Xenopus tropicalis: one gene and its partner. The protein of the gene in region 2 purifies or fractionates together with the protein of the main gene of each other region. This does not show direct contact. Links are inferred from orthologs where the notes say so. Each region holds a gene or a part of one and is shown on either strand. Other genes may lie near its edges.

Region 1 (3,115 bases), on a different chromosome or scaffold from region 2:
TTACTTTTTATTGTTACTTATTTTTCTATTTATGCCCTCTACTTTTCATATTCCGGTCTCTCATTCAAACCACTTGCAGGTTACTAAGGCAAAATTAAACCCTAGCAACCAGACAACTGCTGATATTCCAAACTGGAGAGCTGCTGAACAAGTAATTAAAAAAAACACAAATAATCATGAAGACCAACTGCAAATTGTCGTAGTATATTACTCCCTACATCAGGAGTCCCCAACCTTTCTTACTCGTGAGCCACAATCAAATGTAAAAAGACTTGGGGAGCAACACAAGCACCATAAAAGTTCATGGAGGAGCCAAATAAGGGCTGTGATTGGCTATTAGGGGCCTCTATGCACCCTATCAGCTTACAGGGGGCTTTATTTGGTAGGAAATCTTGTTTTTATTCAACCAAAACTTGCCCCCAAGTCAGGAATTCAAAAATAACTCCCTGGTTTGGGGGCACTGAGAGCAACACCCAAGGGGTTGGGGAGCAACATGTTGCCCCTGAGCCACTGGTTGGGGATCACTGCACTACATCATACTAAAATATAAGTCAAAATGGGGGGGGTCCTACAGAGGCCAAAAGAAGCGACGCCACAGTGAGAATTAAATCTTTTATTAGTGTATTCACATATTCGGCAAATGCAACACGCACAAAGCTTATGTCTTTAGTTCACAAGTTCTACCAATACACAAGCCTACTGGTAAAACTAGTTCACAAACGGTAAATGCTTTTGCCAATTACGTTTTTTTTGTTTTGCAATGGTTTGGCCTACTGCTTACCTTTCCGACACACAGTTGTGGAACTGCCTCTATGTTCTAAACGATACAGCATACAATTAAAGAGATGCCCGCTCTCCGAGATTTCGCTGAATGACGAGACATCCTAACACTGGCCGCTTTTGGTTTTTTGTTTTATTGGTTTATTGAGGTTTGTTCAGAAAGCCAAGGAGCAGTCACTAGCTGTACTCACAAAGTACACTACTAGTGTAAAAAGGGGGATAGCTGTGGGGGTAAGAGGGGGAGAGAGAAGGCAAATACTGCCCCAACGAGAAAGATCTGACAGACAGCAAGAGAACAAAATGGTTAGTAAGATGTACATATTAAAGCCAGAGTACCCTTTCTAAACCGCCTCTGCCCAACCCTTTCCCTATCCTCAGACATCCATAGAATAGAATTCTAAATATTGTATAGGGTCCAAATGTAGTGTCCAAGGGTTTACAATAACATGCACTTAAAAAAAAAACAATTAAAAATAAAAAAATAACCCCTCCTCTGCTGGTTACACTTCCAAGCCCAAAGGCTCCGGTGCTTGGCTTGCCAACTGGTACAAACCGTGATCGACCCAATACCATGAACGACTGCTGGGTCCGGGGGGGGGGGGGGTGAATAAAAATACGTTCGGCTACTCGATCACCGGTTGGTTTACCAGAGAACGCCAATTCGGGGGTGATATGTTCGCGGCTGCTTTGGAAAATACGCAAGGGGAGAGGAGCGACAGCAGATTCATTAGAACAACTTATAAAAATAGCAAGTAGTCAAAAAAGGAAAAAAAAAAATACAAATATAAGAGGGCAATAATAATAATAATAATAATGGCAAAACGCAATGTGTTTTGATTGTGACAGGAGTAAAATGAGGGGAAGCAGGCACGCTATCTGCTGCAACTAAAAGGCATAACTGCACAGTAACTGGAGAACAATATACAGGACATGTACATAGGGACTACTTGTGTTTATTGTTTATCCCGACACTCAACTCTTTGCCCAATAATACACTGTTAAATGTCCTTTTTTTTTTAAAAGAGTCCCGTCCCTGGTAAGGAGTCATTTATACACTAATATTTCAGCTACTTTAAGAGTATCAGAAACATAATCCGACAAGGTGCTTTACGTTGATGGGACCTCAAGTGCTGTTTTCGCTTTTTGTTTTTGTTTTTTTGTTTTTTTTTCTTTTGGATTGTAAACAGTTCATGGGGACCACACACAAATACTATGACAGACAAGCTGTATTGAGTCTGTTGCTGGGACTTCGGTTGCCACCCGCAGGTAATACATAAAAGAAGCGCCCATTAGGACATGCTTGAGCAGCGCACTGAAGGGGATCCCATCTGTGTCAACACTTTGTCCAACCACTGCAAAGGTCCGTTCAGGTGAAGCTCGATCCAACATGGAGTGCTTGTAACGGTCTGCCGCCTACAGACAGACAGAGAGGAGGGTTAAGCACGAGCACACAAGGCAGAAAACATTAGCAATGAGGCATGGTAATGCTTGATTATGTGCCACTGTGACAGAATGCTCTGTTATACAGATAGCTAGAATCTCAGCCATAAAGCAGGGCAGGACTGCTGCTTACAATGGGGGGGATCAGATAGGATCTGTGCCACTGTGACAGAATGCTCTGTTATACAGATAGCTAGAATCTCAGCCATAAAGCAGGGCAGGACTGCTGCTTACAATGGGGGGATCAGATAGGATCTGTGCCACTGTGACAGAATGCTCTGTTATACAGATAGCTAGAATCTCCGCCATAAAGCAGGGCAGGACTGCTGCTTACAATGGGGGGATCAGATAGGATCTGTGCCACTGTGACAGAATGCTCTGTTATACAGATAGCTAGAATCTCAGCCATAAAGCAGGGCAGGACTGCTGCTTACAATTGGGGGATCAGATAGGATTGGGTCAGCAGCTGTAAGTAGGTCTCTGCTCTGCATTTTCTCATATAGTGTATCAATATGCATCCAAAAATACACTTGATAAATGAAGAGTTACCTGTATTCAGCACCCCAGCCTTTTACAAAGCTCATTCTTATGGTGCACATTCGAGTTAACTGATAAACTGCTTCGAAGCCTTGATTCACAGACTGAGCGAGGAGAGCAGCAAACTCTTGGTTATTAAAAATCTTCAGATTGCATCCTGTGAGACAGAATGTAGAATTGCCACAATTACTCCGATTTCAAAATATTCCAACCAAAGGGGGTCAGAAGTACACCTTCCTGTGAACATGAGGGGTATTGAACTGCCCCCTGCGCATTTTGATATAGAATAAAAATGTACTCTCTTTTTCCCATAATTATTGGGGGAATAATTTATAAACACAAAAAAAATCCTATTCTG
Region 2 (3,656 bases):
CCTAGCACCAAAACTCAATGTTTCTACTGGTAAGTGTGTACAGTCGTGGCCAAAAGTTTTGAGAATTACATAAATATTGGAAATTGGAAAAGTTGCTGCTTAAGTTTTTATAATAGCAATTTGCATATACTCCAGAATGTTATGAAGAGTGATCAGATGAATTGCATAGTCCTTCTTTGCCATGAAAATTAACTTAATCCCAAAAAAACCTTTCCACTGCATTTCATTGCTGTCATTAAAGGACCTGCTGAGCTTATTTGAGTAATTGTCTTGTTAACTCAAGTGAGAATGTTGACGAGCACAAGGCTAGAGATCATTATGTCAGGCTGATTGGGTTAGAATGGCAGACTTGACATGTTAAAAGGAGGGTGATGCTTGAAATCATTGTTCTTCCATTGTTAACCATGGTGACCTGCAAAGAAACGCGTGCAGCCATCATTGTGTTGCATAAAAATGGCTTCACAGGCAAGGATATTGTGGCTACTATGATTGCACCTAAATCAACAATTTATAGGATCATCAAGAACTTCAAAGAAAGAGGTTCAATTCTTGTTAAGAAGGCTATAGGGCATCCAAGAAAGTCCAGCAAGTGCCAGGATCGTCTCCTAAAGAGGATTCAGCTGCGGGATCGGAGTGCCACCAGTGCTGAGATTGCTCAGGAATGGCAGCAGGCAGGTGTGAGCGCATCTGCACCACGCACAGTGAGGCAAAGACTTTTGGAAGATGGCCTGGTGTCAAGAAGGGCAGCAAAGAAGCCACTTCTCTCCAAAAAAAACATCAGGGACAGATTGATCTTCTGCAGAAAATATGGTGAATGGACTGCTGAGGACTGGGGCAAAGTCATATTCTCAGATGAAGCCGCTTTCCGATTGTTTGGGGCATCTGGAAAAAGGCTTTTCCGGAGAAGAAAAGGTGAGCGCTACCATCAGTCCTGTGTCATGCCAACAGTAAAGCATCCTGAGACCATTCATGTGTGGGGTTGCTTCTCATCCAAGGGAATGGGCTCACTCACAATTTTGCCCAAAAACACAGCCATGAATAAAGAATGGTACCAAAACACCCTCCAACAGCAACTTCTTCCAACAATCCAACAACAGTTTGGTGAAGAACAATGCATTTTCCAGCATGGTGGAGCACCGTGCCATAAGGGCAAAATGATAACTAAGTGGCTCGGGGACCAAAATGTTGAAATTTTGGGTCCATGGCCTGGAAACTCCCTAGATCTTAATCTCATTGAGAACTTGTGGTCAATCCTCAAGAGGCGGGTGGACAAACAAAAACCCACTAATTCTGACAAACTCCAAGAAGTGATTATGAAAGAATGGGTTGCTATCAGTCAGGATTTGGCCCAGAAGTTGATTGAGAGCATGCCCAGTCGAATTGCAGAGGTCCTGAAAAAGAAGGGCCAACACTGCAAATACTGATTCTTTGCATAAATGTCATGTACAGTAATTGTCGATAAAAGCCTTTGAAACGTATGAAGTGCTTGTAATTATATTTCAGTACATCACAGAAACAACTGAAACAAAGATCTAAAAGCAGTTTAGCAGCAAACTTTGTGAAAGCTAATACTTGTGTCATTCTCAAAACTTTTGCCCACGACTGTACATAGTATACATCTATGGGGGTTATTTCTTTTTCTCCTGGGTTATTTAAAATACCTAGTTATTAAAGAATAATTAGGAAGTAAGGTTGCTGTATACTTCCATAGGAGACCATATCCCAGATGTCCAGAGCTCATTTTTAAGTCATGCCTGCAAGGATGAGTGGCTGACATTATTAGTGTCATCTTTAAATGCTTCAGCTCTTCTTTTTTTTTTTTTTTTTTTTTTTTTTAATTAAAATTTTCTTAATTTCTCATAGATGATTCCAGAACTAGTACTTCTGGCACCAATGTAGATGGTGGCCCTCCAGCAATGCCACGTTTACCATCTTGCTGTCCCCAGCACTCGCCGTGTGGAGGATCCTCACAGAATCATGTCCTGGGACATCCCCATTCAAGCTGTTTCCCACCACACAGTCACCACTTTCCACACCACCATCATCATCACCATCAGAGTTCCCACCCAGGAGTTCCTTTGTCTCCTTCCTTCAGGGACTCGCACTGTCCTGTGGAAAGAAATGCTGCAGTGCCACCACCTTGTGGAGCAACTAGCAGCTCAGGATCCACCTATCATGATCCAGTAAGGTTGACTAAAATATGTATAGATTGTTGTTGGTGACCGAAAGCAAGCATTTAACCTATGCACCATAAATTGACTTACCAGTGTGCATAGACACCATGTCTCCTGCTCCTACAGGCAGGGCTTTGCTTTGAGAATGGGGCCCAGCTGCTGTTTGAATTGTAAGTTATGACTTCACAGCAGCCTTGTATCATAATTAAAAGAAGTCAAGTTTATTAAAGGGTAACTAAAGACCCTAATAAACTAACTAATAGCAAGCCTAATGGAAAAAAAACATATTTTAGCTACTCCTTGTGCAACATATGATTTGCTATTAATTGGGGCATTGTTACAGCACTGCAAACTTTAAGCACCACTTAAACATTTTCAGGGACCGTTCTTGGGTGTAAAGGATGCTAAAAAGTTGTCTGATATTTGGTACTTTTGTGTTTTTTTGTTACAGCAAGCCTTGCCTGTAGATTTGAGTAACAATGGCATAAGAAGCCACGGAAGTGTTAGTTTTCATAGTACATCTGCTTTTGATCCTTGCTGTCCTGGCTCTTCATCGCGATCAACAGTTTATGGACATCAGTCCACTACCAGCACTGCTCAGACCATGGCAATTGATGGTTATGGATCAAGTATGGTAGCGCAAGCACAGCCTCCTCCTCCAACTCCACTCTCTTCCTGCAGACATTACATGCATGCTCCTTGTAAGTAGTAGAGGTTCCATGCTTTAGGAGACTTTATGACCCATTCTTATAGTTACATGTCGAAGAAGGTATAATTTCTAGAAATCATTACATGCTGTGTATGAGCTGCCTGCAGGACAAGCTAAATAGTTACACCTTGATTTAAATGTTAGGTGGAAGGACTGCATTAAGCTTAAAGGAACACCAAAAATTAAAAGTATTTTAAAGTAATTAAAATGTACTGTCACCCTGCACTGGTAAAACTGGTGTGCTTAAGGAACACTACTGTAGTTTATATAAATAAGCTGCTGTGTAGCCATGGGGGCAGCCATTTAAGCTGGAAAAAAGGAGAAAAGACACAGGTTACATAGCAGATAACTGATTTAACACCATTGTATTTTGCAGAATGTTTCTGTTATCTGCTATGCAACCTGTGTCTTCTCCTTTTGAGTGGCTACCCCTATGGTTATACAGCAGAGTCTATGTAGAAACTATAGTAGTCTTTTTGAAGCAAACAACTTTTACTAGTGCAGGGCAACAGTATATTATAGTTTAATTACTTTGATACATTTTTATTTTTTGGTGTTACTGTTCCTTTAAGGAGGTGCTTGTTAGGTAATCATTGCACAGCCTTATTGTATGCTAAGTCTCTGAGCACTGTTAAGACAACGCATAACTTCTGTGCTCCTATGTCATAGTGCGAAATACAGAGCTGTGCAGTGTTTTTGGTGGCCACTATATTGGGCCATGTCTCTTTCATTTCCTGCCTTGATTTACATGATAATGTGGCAGGACCACAGTG

Evidence for each region.
Region 1: the proteins of rnf111 (region 2) and smad2 purify together in Homo sapiens (affinity purification with western blotting, with the first as the bait; 3 studies listed by BioGRID). This does not show direct contact. The link is inferred for Xenopus tropicalis from reciprocal best matches to the Homo sapiens genes RNF111 and SMAD2.

The regions. Positions count from the first base shown.
Region 1 is NC_030677.2:206,124,031-206,127,145, reverse strand, and holds the end of smad2 (mothers against decapentaplegic homolog 2), read right to left. Parts: intron 2,915-3,115; coding exon 2,770-2,914; intron 2,194-2,769; coding exon 2,070-2,193; 3' UTR 599-2,069; downstream 1-598. UniProt on the Homo sapiens protein: Receptor-regulated SMAD (R-SMAD) that is an intracellular signal transducer and transcriptional modulator activated by TGF-beta (transforming growth factor) and activin type 1 receptor kinases.
Region 2 is NC_030679.2:99,185,511-99,189,166, forward strand, and holds part of rnf111 (E3 ubiquitin-protein ligase arkadia), read left to right. Parts: intron 1-1,863; coding exon 1,864-2,183; intron 2,184-2,625; coding exon 2,626-2,875; intron 2,876-3,656. UniProt on the Homo sapiens protein: E3 ubiquitin-protein ligase. Required for mesoderm patterning during embryonic development. Acts as an enhancer of the transcriptional responses of the SMAD2/SMAD3 effectors, which are activated downstream of BMP.